Pelodiscus sinensis: one gene and its partners. The protein of the gene in region 3 purifies or fractionates together with the protein of the main gene of each other region. This does not show direct contact. Links are inferred from orthologs where the notes say so. Each region holds a gene or a part of one and is shown on either strand. Other genes may lie near its edges. The genes, in order: CREB1, DDX5 and SMARCA4.

Region 1 (4,172 bases), on a different chromosome or scaffold from region 3:
GGCAGTCCAGAAGAGAAGGCGGTGGGGCCACCAGACCAGGGCTCCAAGGCAGTCCAGAAGAGAAGGCGGTGGGGCCACCAGACCAGGGCTCCAAGGCAGTCCAGAAGAGAAGGCGGTGGGGCCACCAGACCAGGGCTCCAAGGCAGTCCAGAAGAGAAGGCGGTGGGGCCACCAGGCGGTTCTGCGTGGGGAGGGAGGGCAGCGAGGGAGGGGCCTCCCATTCCTGGAAGCTGGCCCAGCTGCCCTACGGCCCTGTTGGGGGAAGGGGAAGGAGGCTGCGGTGCGCGTGAGGAGCAATGGGAGGGGGCAGAGCTTCTTCCCGCACGCTGGTGTCCCACCGAGCAGTGAAATGTCTGGCAGGGCTTTCCAGGGCATTTCACTACTTCATGGGGAGCCGGGGCAGAGCATTTAAATTTGGGACTGTCGTGGAAAAATCGGGACAATGGTCCGCACGTCTATAGCTCAGGAGTGTGGGTTAGCAACTCTAAGTGCTACAGCTCCATCCATCTCCATTGCCGGCATTTATCACCAGTCCGAGGAGAAGCTGCCAAGGGCACTCCTCCGAGAGGGGGGCTTGCACCGGCAAACCCATCACACACCCGAATCTGCCATTCGCCCTCTTGGCTACAGGGCACTGACTCATCTCCAGCCTCTCATCCGCTGGAACCGCCCGGTCGGCGGTTCGGCCTTTTCCGCTCCCGCTCGGCTGTTTCCGTGCCTGGTCGGGCACCCCCGCAGCCGGTCGGCGGTTCGGCCTTTTCCGCTGCCGCTCGGCTGTTTCCGTGCCTGGTCGGGCACCCCCGCAGCCGGTCGGCGGTTCGGCCTTTTCCGCTCCCGCTCGGCCCTTTCCGTGACCGCCGCGTGTTCGGCCTTTTCCGCTCCCGCTCGGGTGTTTCCGTGCCTGGTCGAGCACCCCCGCAGCCGGTCGGCGGTTCGGTCTTTTCCGCTGCCGCTCGGCTGTTTCCGTGCCCGCCGCGTGTTCGGCCTTGTCCGCTGCCGCTCGGCTGTTTCCGTGCCCGCCGCGTGTTCGGCCCTGTCCGCTCGCGCTCGGCAGTTTCCGCGAGGGGCCGCGGCGCGCTCGCGCTCGCTCCCCGGCTGGCGCTCAGTCGGCCGCTGCCTGTCGCCGGGCTGGGGGAGCCGTGTGAGTGACGCGGCCGAGGTGTAGTTTGACGCGGTGTGTTACGTGGGGGAGAGAATAAAACTGCGGCGAGAGCCTAGGCGCAGCGAGAGCAGTGACGGAGCAGCCCGTAACCGGTAAGAGGAGGACGGCGCCCAGCCGGGGGGGGATGGAGCCGGCGGGGCGCAGGGAGCAACAGGCGGCCCGGCCTGCACCGCCAGCGGGAGGGGCGCCCGCTTTAAAGATGGAGCCGCGCCGAGCCCTGCAACATCCCCGCCGCCGCCGCTCCGAGCGCGGCGAACAAAGAGCAATGGCGGCGGGACCGCTCTGGCTGCCAGCTCGGCGCCGGGCCCCGCCTGGGCCGCAGGGACCCTCCGGAGAGCCCGGCAGCCGCTGTCCGGGCAGCGTGTCTGGTGCCCCTGGCCCGGGCTGCCCCCACTCAGGCTGGTCCTTCCCCGCCGCGGAGCCCGCTCCGGCCCCTCGCCGCCTCCGAAACCCGGGCCGGGCTCCGCGCCCCCGCCAATCCCGGCCCCGCCGCACAGCCCGCTCCGGCCCCTCGCCGCCTCCGAAACCCGGGCCGGGCTCCGCGCCCCCGCTAATCCCGGCCCCGCCGCACAGCCCGCTCCGGCCCCTCGCCGCCTCTGAAACCCGGGCCGGGCTCCCGCCAATCCCGGCCCCGCCGCACAGCCCGCTCCGGCCCCTCGCCGCCTCCGAAACCCGGGCCGGGCTCCGCGCCCCCGCTAATCCCGGCCCCGCCGCACAGCCCGCTCCGGCCCCTCGCCGCCTCCGAAACCCGGGCCGGGCTCCCGCCAATCCCGGCCCCGCCGCACAGCCCGCTCCGGCCCCTCGCCGCCTCCGAAACCCGGGCCGGGCTCCCGCCAATCCCGGCCCCGCCGCACAGCCCGCTCCGGCCCCTCGCCGCCTCCGAAACCCGGGCCGGGCTCCCGCCAATCCCGGCCCCGCCGCACAGCCCGCTCCGGCCCCTCGCCGCCTCTGAAACCCGGGCCGGGCTCCCGCCAATCCCGGCCCCGCCGCACAGCCCGCTCCGGCCCCTCGCCGCCTCCGAAACCCGGGCCGGGCTCCGCGCCCCCGCTAATCCCGGCCCCGCCGCACAGCCCGCTCCGGCCCCTCGCCGCCTCCGAAACCCGGGCCGGGCTCCGCGCCCCCGCTAATCCCGGCCCCGCCGCACAGCCCGCTCCGGCCCCTCGCCGCCTCTGAAACCCGGGCCGGGCTCCGCGCCCCCGCTAATCCCGGCCCCGCCGCACAGCCCGCTCCGGCCCCTCGCCGCCTCCGAAACCCGGGCCGGGCCCCCGCCAATCCCGGCCCCGCCGCACAGCCCGCTCCGGCCCCTCGCCGCCTCTGAAACCCGGGCCGGGCTCCCGCGCCCCCGCTAATCCCGGCCCCGCCGCGGCTCGGTGCCCTCCCAGCCCGCCGCGCCGCGAATCGCGCTTCCTCCTGATTCCCGCCCCGATGGCCAGCTGGCCCGCAGCGGTTCTCTCCCCCTGCCCTCCAGAGTGGGCCGCCCCCGCAGTCACAGCTCCCGGAGCGGGGCGATGTTTTAATTCGTGTCAGACAGACCTCTCGAAAGGTGTATCTTTATTCCCTGAAGCATACCAAGTGCTGCGGCAGACAGCCCTGTCTTAAGGGTCAGCTCTGTTAACACACACTGTCATGTATTGCACAAGTATCTTGGATTAAAACTGAATTTGAAAAGCTCCTTCTCTTTATGCTTATTCCATTCTATTTGGATAATACACAGCCTACCTAGTTTCACTCATTTATCGTCGATTTCATTTTCTGACTGATATGGTACTGGTCCGGTAATATCTGGTTAAAGGAATTGTAACTAAACTATGTAGAAACGTATGTAGTATTTTAGTTTGTTACAGGACTAGTGGCGGGGGGAGGGGGGGGGGTTTCCAATAAAAGCTTTTCAAGAGTTTATTCTGGGGCAGACTTGATTTGATGGGCTCTTTTTAAAATGGGGTATGCACATGTTCAGAAGAAACTGTCCAGGTCTCCCAAAGCATTGCTTTTCATGGCAGTTCAATTGAAATAGTGCAGAGAAGCTAATAATCAAGATACAGATCTCTGCACCCTACTCCTGGTATGTAGCAGTAGGAAGATGTAATCTTGTTAATACTTCAATACTAAAAATGAATTTCCCCATAAGTGTAACTGTAGGAAATTTTGATACAGTGGTCAGTCTTGCAACTAACCTGCAGGTTTCTTAAATGAGAATGCTGCAGACACAATGATAGTTGGGTTGCACCTGTACTAAAACTGTATTATTCCATTATCCTGTTTTATATTTGATATATATACCACATTACACAATTCTGAAAAATATTTTAGGTATCTTACCCCCATCATTGCCATTCTAGTTTTTTATTCCCTGCAGCTTCAGTATCCATACTAGAAATTCTTAATTTTTGTTTTGTTTTTCCACTTGCTGTTGTACACTTCCTTCCTTCAACTTCTAGGATTCTGCATCTTGCACAGTCTTTTCATCTAATTTAAAGGCACAATGTTTTCAATTTTTTGGGATTAATGATACATACAGTGGTGCTGGAGCCAGGAGTGGGAGTGAGGGGAGGCAGTTGGTGGGAACATGGCCCTCCCGATTTATCAGCTTCCATCCTGGAGCTGCTTTTCCAATGCCCCAGAACTAGTTTGGAGGCCCATGCCCATGTTAAAAAGTAGAGTAGGATTCCAGCACCTTTGTGAATCCTATAGTAGGTTTAAAACTTTAAAAATTATGTGGTTTTTATGAAGTTTGTGTGGCTTATCTCTTCCCTCCAAAACTTTTTTTTTTTAAATATATAAACTCATGCTAGCAACCCAGTGTGTCTGGGTCGATGGCTAGATTCGCCCAGTATAAGAAATTAAAACTTCAGTGGGGGGAGGAGGAAATCAGTTAACTTAACCAGTGGTTCTTGTGTCTATAAAGCTGGAAATAACCTAGATTATTGAGTGTCTTCCGTTCCTGTAGAGAGAGAACTGAAAAAGGGTTAGAGTACCATGTGTTGATGGTGGGTTTGTTTTGTTTTGTTTT
Region 2 (4,172 bases), on a different chromosome or scaffold from region 3:
AAGATGAAATTCAATAAAAACATTGCAAATATTTCACTTAGGAAGGAAAAATTAAATGCACAACTACAAAATAGGAACTGTCTAGTTAGTAGTACTGCTGAAAAGGATCTGGGGTTCTCATGATCACAAATTGAACATTTTAACAAGGTGATGTAGTTAGAAAAAAGCTAATATAAATCTGCAATTTGTATTAAAATAGTGTTGCAGCTAACACTATAGTTAATTGTCTTGTTTTACTTCACAATGGTGGTGCATCAGCTGGAGTAGTGTGCCTAAATCTGAGTACTAAACTTTTGGAAAGATGTAGGTAAATTGGAGAAAGGCCAGAGAAGATCAATAAAAATTATACAAAGATTTAAAAAAACGGTGAGGAAAAGTTTTAAAACCTGGGCATATTATTCCCGAGAAAAAAACTGACAGAGAAACCTGATACAGGCTTGAAATATGTTAAAGGGCTCTTAGAAAGAGGACCATGAACAATTGTTCTCCATAGACACAGTAATGGACTTGGTCTGCAGCAAGATACAGGAAAATATTCCAAATAGCAGTTAAGCAGTGGAACAGGCTTCCCCGGGGGCTGTCACTGTTAAAGTCTTTCAAGAACAAGCTGGACAAACACCTGTCAGGGATGATCTGGGTTTATCCTGCCTCTCTGAAGGTTTGTGGACCTAATGACCTTTCAAGGTCCCCTTCAGCCCCAGTCCCAGGATTCTACATAAAACAAAGCTCCTGACTCCCAACGATCATGAACCACCTGCGGAGTCACATTTACTAGGTGTGTGTGTGTGAGAGAGAGAGAAGGGAACAGCCATGTCAGAACCTGGGGCTGTTGGGGGCAATGCCCTTTTGATGAGAGTGGGCTGGTTCCCCTATACAGCCTCGGGGCAGAGAGAGGGACTGTGCAGCGCCCCAGCTGGTTAATGCCCCCCTCCCGCTCCTCTTCCATCATAAAGGGGCTACAAAGGACACAGTAGGCCTCTGATGACAACAACGGAGCATGAGGGGGAGGGGATGACACCACCAGGAATGCGCAGGCGCGGGCGGCTCGCGCTCTGAGAAGCGTGGGCGCGAAAGGCTGAAGTTAGGGGGAGGGGAGGACGCCGCTCGAGGGCTTTGGGCACGCGCCTGGAAAACGGAAAGGGGGCGGGGATGCCGGGCAGTGACTGTAGCGCGAGCCACGCCCGAAGTGGAAAGGGGAACTTCCGCCTGCGAGGGTAAAAACCGGCCGGCGAAGCAAAAGAGAAGTCGAGAACCTAGCGCTCGCGGCCACGCCCACAGGAGGGGGAGGGGAATACGGCTGCTTCGGTCTCTGACGCAGGACAGAGGGAAGGGTTCTGAGTTCGCGTCACGACCCGGTTCCCAGCATTCCCTGGGGCGCCGGCTATATAACCGGCGTTCGGGCGCTTCGACGCTCCCCATTCATTAGAGTCGCCTGCAGTCCCTGACCTTCCCGTACCTTCTGCCTCTCGCTTCAGTGCTCGGGCTCGTCTCATCCGCCGCCGCCATTGCTATGCCTGGATACGACATGGACAGAGGGTGAGTCTGGGGCCCCGGCCGGCGCTTGCCGCCGTGTTTCCTCCGAACGGCTCTACCGGCCGTTGAACCATGTAAAATGGCGGCGGGGATGGGCGCCCTCTCCATCGATCCGCGAATGGCGGGAGGGGCCGCTGACTGCGGAGGTGGGGGGCGATGGCATCGGATCCCAGCAGTCGGGGGCACCTGGGGGGGGGGGGGGAGAGTGGTAGGCGAGCCCGGGGGCTGGTGACCGAATGCCGGTGAAGTACAAACTCGGCTGAGCAATCTGCCCTCGACGGTTGGGGATCGTCGGCTCCGGGTTGTGGGGGGGGGGGGGGGAGTTCGGGAACGCGCCCCTCCCCCCGCCGCTGCTCGGGCTCCAGGTCTCCCGGTTTGGTGGCTCGGGCAGTCGGAACCGTGTTTGGCGGTTTAACGGGTCGTGCACGCGCCCCTCCGGTGACCGAAACTGCCCCCTTCCCGCTCCGGAACCGCCCTGGGCAGATGGCGTCTGGGGCTAAAGCCGGCCGGCTCTTGCTTTGTGTTGTGTAAGCGGATGTGAATGGCCGGCCCCGCCATGCGGTGACTGAGGGGAAATCAAAATGCCGGCTGCTGCCTTTGTTCCTCCCCCTCCCCGCCCAGCCTCTAAAATGGCAGCGGCTGGAAAATGTGGCGTAGACAGAAATGAGAAACAAAGGAAACCGCGGCTGCCGCTCCGCCATGTTCTCCGCGGGGGCGGGGGCACTTCGCCGCCTAGCCCGGGTGGATGGGGACGGGGCCTGGAGGGGCGAATAACCCTTCACGGTGCCCGTTGGCCCAGTTGTGAGATGGGGGGTGCGTACTTGGCGGCTGAACGGGATTTGGGGGCGCTGGTGATTTTATCGTTTTCCGTCGAAGGGACTCCGATGCGCTTTTTATTTGGGACCCAGCGTCTTGCGGCCGGTTTTGTTTCCTTACCCGAATTCGTTGCGCTTGTTTAAATTAAAAAGCATCCCATAGGCACCCACTTACGAGAATGTTTCTAGATTTCATAACGCCCCACCCACGGGCATACACTGGCTTTCTTCAATCTCTGACGCACACTGGGAGTGTCACTTCTGTTACCAAGGCGTTAGGGCTAGCCTTGTTTTTGTTTCCAGCGATTCATTTTAAATGCTTTAGAAAATTAGGTGCTCCTTTATCTGGGGTGTTAGGTATTTGGTGACTAATCCTAATCTGCTGCTTGTGGCTTTTATTATACTTTGGAAGTGAAAACGGGCAGCTAAATGCTTTCTCCAAATATTGATGAACACAAATTAGGAATTAGCTATATTGAGAATTTTAGCATTGATCTGACTATGGAAGTGAGTTAACTGTCACATAAGAGACTGTTACATTTTGCAAACATTTTCATGGCTAATAATTTTTTAGGTTTGGTGGCCCTCGATTTGGAGGAAGCAGAGGCGGACCATTATCTGGAAAGAAATTTGGAAACCCTGGAGAAAAACTTACGAAAAAGAAATGGAACCTAGATGAACTGCCCAAATTTGAGAAGAATTTTTATCAAGAGCATCCTGATGTAGTCAGACGCACTGTGGTATGTACCTTGGCTGTTTGCTTAATTAAAATTGTTTATCTGTGCAGGAATTGACACTTAATGTGCTTTTTACTTGACGACTTATTATGTGGGATATGAATCAGTAAGTTTAGAGAAATTATTACACTTCATTTGAATACAACTGATTTCAGTCAATTTGCAATTTTGTTCTAGATAAAGCTTTAAATAATGCTAATGTAATTATGTTTTGCAGCAAGAGGTTGAACAGTACAGAGCAAGCAAAGAAATCACAGTGAAGGGCCATACCTGTCCAAAACCGCTTATAAATTTCTATGAAGCTAACTTTCCTGGTGAGTACAGATACCTGTATATCCAGGGGTTCACTCAGACATCATGAATGCAAGCATCTAATTCATTGGTTCTCTTTTGCAGCAAATGTTATGGAAGTAATTCAGGGACAGAATTTCACTGAACCAACTGCTATTCAGGCACAAGGATGGCCTGTTGCTTTGAGTGGACTGGATATGGTTGGAGTAGCACAGACTGGATCTGGGAAAACCTTGTCCGTAAGTTGTAACTTTACAATGTTCAGGTTATGTAACTGCATTTCCATGTTCAAAGTGTTACTAATACATAAAACTGCAAATCTAGTTACATTTCCTAGTGTTTTAGATATATGTATGTATAACATGAGTTTTTGTTTTCACACAGTACTTGTTGCCTGCTATAGTGCATATAAATCATCAGCCATTCCTGGAGCGAGGAGATGGACCTATTGTGAGTATAAGAATATGAAGCTCTTTTCTTTTAGAGGAATCTGGCTTTCTTAAATGCAAATTGTTGGGGTTGGAGTATGTGGATTGAGTAGAAAAGTTAGGCACTTGAATGCTGCATCATTATAAACCTTGCAAGTAGTCAGTTTCATGTTTTAGCTAGTCCATCAGGCTTAGGTGCATTGTATAGACTGTCCTCTAAGACTGAAGAATTCAAAGTGTGCTTCCCAAAATTGGATTAGCTTGAGGGCATAACCCCCTGTGTCAAAAGATGGCTGGTTTTGAGGGTACTTGTTGAAGGGTATCTTGGCAGTGAAACCTAAAGAAGCCTATTACACTTTTTAAAGTGT
Region 3 (4,172 bases):
AACAATCTTGCAGCCCACTTGTGTGGCCCACTCACTAGCCTACATTGCCAGTGCCTGCCCCAGGAGAACCGCCAGCTCCTGTCTCATCATGCCCTTCCTATCAGCATTCAGCCCCCATCCCACCGGCTTCCTCCATCATTCCTTGGCCACTGTCCCCTCTTCCTCATGAGCCCCCTTAGCTTTCCCTGCCCATCAGCCCCCCATTCTCCTCCCCCACCTCCTGAGCCCCCTTCCTCCTCCCCCAGACCCTCCCTTTCCTGTGCCCTCAGCTTTCCCTGCCCATCAGCCCCTTATTCTCCTTTCCCCCTGAACCCCCTTTCCCCTCCTATGGCCCCCCTCCTCAGCCCTTCCCCTTCTGAGCTCTCTCCCCTTAAGGGCTCCCTGAGCCCCCCTTCTTCCTGAGCCCCTCCCCTCAACCCCCTCCCCCTCCTGAACCCCCTTACTGAGCCCCTCCCCTCAACCCCCTCCCCCTCCTGAGCCCCTCCCCTCAACCCCCTCCCCCTCCAGAACCCCCTTCCTGAGCCCCTCCCCTCAACCCCCTCCCCCTCCTGAGCCCCCTTCCTGAGCCCCTCCCCTCAACCCCCTCCCCCTCCTGAACCCCCCTCCTGAGCCCCTCCCCTCAACCCCCTCCCCCTCCTGAGCCCCTCCCCTCAACCCCCTCCCCTCAACCCCCTCCCCCTCCTGAGCCCCCTTCCTGAGCCCCTCCCCTCAACCCCCTCCCCCTCCTGAGCCCCCTTCCTGAGCCCCTCCCCTCAACCCCCTCCCCCTCCTGAGCCCCCTTCCTGAGCCCCTCCCCTCAACCCCCTCCCCCTCCTGAGCCCCCTTCCTGAGCCCCTCCCCTCAACCCCCTCCCCCTCCTGAGCCCCCTTCCTGAGCCCCTCCCTCAACCCCCTCCCCCTCCTGAGCCCCCTTACTGAGCCCCTCCCCTCAACCCCGTCCCCCTCCTGAGCCCCTCCCCCTCCTGAGCCCCTCCCCCTCCTGAACCCCCCTCCTGAGCCCCTCCCCCTCCTGAACCCCCCTCCTGAGCCCCTCCCCTCAACCCCCTCCCCCTCCTGAGCCCCCTTACTGAGCCCCTCCCCTCAACCCCGTCCCCCTCCTGAGCCCCTCCCCCTCCTGAACCCCCCTCCTGAGCCCCTCCCCTCAACCCCCTCCCCCTCCTGAGCCCCCTTCCTGAGCCCCTCCCCTCCCCTCATTTTCCCCTGCCCATCCCCTCCGCCTTCGAAGTTCCCTCCCCTTCGCCGCAGTGGCGCCCGCAATGCGCATGCGTGGCCGCGGCGGCGGTTTCCAGCCGGTTGGGAGGAGGAGGCGGCTCGCATCGCCAGCGCGCGCCACAAGGACGCGCGGACGCAGCTCGCCCCCTCCCCCTTATCCCCGCCCACGACCGCTCGAACGCTTCCTTCTCCCTGCTTCATTGGCTGCGGCAGGCTGGAAGGCGTGAGCGCGAGCCGCTTTCCTTAGCTCCCATTGGCTGATCGCGACGACTCTCGGCCGCAGGCAGGGGAGGGACCAGCCAGAGGTACTTGCCCATTGGTTGCAGCGCCGCCAAGGTGGGCGGGGTTAGCTTGGCTCGTTCTCACACCATTGGTCGAGGCGCGTGTCAGCTGTGCTCCCAGTGGAGGAGGGCGCTTGGCGCGCCGCCCACCTTGCCCGAGGGAGGGGCGGAGCGCGAACGCCCCTGATTGGCTGTGGCACGCAGACGCGAACGCCAAGGCGAGGCAGGGTCGGGAGGGGGCGGGCGGTGGCGCGCGAGCCCCACCGGGGCCTTCCCATTGGCCCAGGCTGCCGCCCCGCGCGCGCGCTGGAGCCGGATCGGGAGCGCGCGCGCTGCTGCTGCTGCTGCCTCCCGCGGGGGCGCGCGCTAGGGGGAGCTCGAGCCGCGTCTCCCTCACGCTCGCACAGTAGCGGCGGCTCCTTTGTCCCGCCGCGACGCGACCCGGCGGGGATGGAGCCCGCGAGCGGCCCCGCGAGGGGCGGGCACGGTGAGCGCGGGGAGGGGGGGCCGGCGCCCCATTGAATGGAAGGGCGGGGGGGGCTGAGGGGCTACGGCGGCCCGGCAGGGTCAAGAGGCCTCCGCGACGTTCCCTGCGCGAGAGCTCGGCCGCCCCCCCGCGCGGGGACCCTTCCAGCGTCCTCCCTGCCCCCCCCGTGGGCTGTGCCCCCCCGAGCAGCGCCCCTCCCCCATCCCCGGGGCACAGCTCCCCCCTCGCCCCTCCCCCATCCCCGGGGCCCTGGCCCCATCGCGGCCCCCCTCCCCGGGGCACAGCTCCCCCTCACCCGCCCCCACCCCTGGATCACTGGCCCTCCTGGGTATCTCACCCCCCCAGTCTCTGGAGAACTGGCCCCATCATGCCCCCATCCCTGGGGCAGTGTTCTCCCTGAGCATCCCTCTTCCCCCACCTCCCAGGGATGGGGGGGCAATGTGGGAGGGGTGATGCTCAGATGATGCCCCTGGGATCGGGGGGTGATAGGGGATGGCAGTGCCCCCCCCCCCCGTGATCATCTCATTTCTGGTGTACTTGCCCCCATGAGCACCTCTCCTTTCATGAGCACGCCATCCCTGATGTACTGCACCCTGTTTGCGTTTCCATCCGTTCTGGGGCTCTGGCCCTCCATCAGCATCTGCCCCTCCTCAAACATGCTGCCCTTATCCTTTAGCATCAACCCTTCCAGTCACCCCAATTCATTAACAGCCCTCTCTTTTCTTCCCAGAATACTTCCCCACCAAGGGGTTGTGCCCCCCCCTTGCTAATCAGCCTCTTTCCTGCCCCCTTTCTCCCAGAATCTCTTTGCTTCCACCTTGCTATCATCCCACTCCACCCAAGAAAGCTGTCCTTACCTTACTCCTCAGCATCTCCCTCTTTAGGCTGGGGTGCTTCCTCCTTATTGTTCAACATAAGTATCTTCTATCCTGTTTAAACTAGTTCCCACATCAATATCCCCCTCTCCCATTTCCGTACCTCATTTTGTGGATCCTGCCCACACTACCATCATCTGCCCAGTCCCAAGGAATTGTGTTTTCCTATCTCTTTTCTCTAGCCCATGGAGTTGCTCTACTCTATTCTCAAGAGCTATGGTCCCTCCTCCTTCCACCTTCTCTTTCTTTGGAGAATTGGTGATTTGAGGGGGTTGGCCTTAGATCCCCCAGGCTTACAACATCCTGGCTGGATTCCCTACACATTCATATATTTATTATGGGAAAGGTTCAGATTTTCCACCTGCTCAGGACAGAGCCACAAGAAGAAGCCAATCACTTGTGCTTGCAGGATGGTCTATAAATTCTCTCTCCTAGGAGTACTTCATTGCTCAGGCTCTGACTTCCTGGAGAGATACCAAGGTTCTCATGTGCTGGGGGTGGGGGGAGGTTGAAAGGAGCAGGATTAGCTGCTGCATCAAATAGGCACATAACCACAGACAGCTCCACATGCAAAGTCCCGCTGTCAGATGTATTGGGGAAAGGAGGTGCAAAAAATTGCCTCAATTCCACTCAGCTCATTGATATGAATTTGTGGGTGATGATGTTTTAAAGAGGATTTGCTCTCAAAGCCTATTAATAAGCACCCCCTTGCTCAGAGCATCCCCCATGGTTTCCTGACACACAAAGCACATTTAAATATGAATGGGTCTCTATGTAACACAGCTTCTCATTAGAAATCATTTGGAAATAAAGGGAATATTTACTGATGCCCCAATATTCTAATGGAGGGTTTTAACTGTTCTCTTTCATCTCCTGTTTTGGGGCAAATTTGTGCTGCCTTTGATGGTCACAAATCAGTTAACAATGTAGTCTATTGTTTTAAGGCAGAGGCTCTTTGTTGTATTTTGTATAACTGTAATAGGTTTTTAACAACTTTCCTTAAACATTGTCTTGCACACTTGTTTTTGTGGTGTTTCTGATGATCATTCATATAAAAAGTATCTTTTAATATTAAACATTTACAAAATGCTACATATTTTGAAATGATGGAGGTTTTGCTGTATGTTAACTTGACCCAAATGTAAGCATAGTTGAAGTCTGAGACTTTTAACTATAGATTTAATAATACCTAGTTCTAAATAATATTAAATATTTTTTACAAATTTTCCCTTGTTCCCATCTTTGAGTGATACATTACCCTAAGTATCTCAATTTCTGTTCTTCATAATTGTTTTATTGCCCCTAATATCTTGGCATC

The links.
Region 1: the proteins of SMARCA4 (region 3) and CREB1 purify together in Homo sapiens (affinity purification with western blotting; 3 studies listed by BioGRID, with this or other methods). This does not show direct contact. The link is inferred for Pelodiscus sinensis from reciprocal best matches to the Homo sapiens genes SMARCA4 and CREB1.
Region 2: the proteins of SMARCA4 (region 3) and DDX5 purify together in Homo sapiens (affinity purification with western blotting; 3 studies listed by BioGRID and IntAct, with this or other methods). This does not show direct contact. The link is inferred for Pelodiscus sinensis from reciprocal best matches to the Homo sapiens genes SMARCA4 and DDX5.

What each region holds. Positions count from the first base shown.
Region 1 is NC_134717.1:75,875,806-75,879,977, forward strand, and holds the start of CREB1 (cyclic AMP-responsive element-binding protein 1), read left to right. Parts: upstream 1-1,049; 5' UTR 1,050-1,254; intron 1,255-4,172.
Region 2 is NC_134730.1:20,752,935-20,757,106, reverse strand, and holds the start of DDX5 (putative ATP-dependent RNA helicase DDX5), read left to right. Parts: upstream 1-1,338; 5' UTR 1,339-1,510; coding exon 1,511-1,536; intron 1,537-2,922; coding exon 2,923-3,088; intron 3,089-3,302; coding exon 3,303-3,399; intron 3,400-3,481; coding exon 3,482-3,615; intron 3,616-3,760; coding exon 3,761-3,826; intron 3,827-4,172. UniProt on the Homo sapiens protein: Involved in the alternative regulation of pre-mRNA splicing; its RNA helicase activity is necessary for increasing tau exon 10 inclusion and occurs in a RBM4-dependent manner. Binds to the tau pre-mRNA in the stem-loop region downstream of exon 10.
Region 3 is NW_027465894.1:296,814-300,985, forward strand, and holds the start of SMARCA4 (SWI/SNF-related matrix-associated actin-dependent regulator of chromatin subfamily A member 4), read left to right. Parts: upstream 1-1,808; 5' UTR 1,809-1,979; intron 1,980-4,172. UniProt on the Homo sapiens protein: ATPase involved in transcriptional activation and repression of select genes by chromatin remodeling (alteration of DNA-nucleosome topology).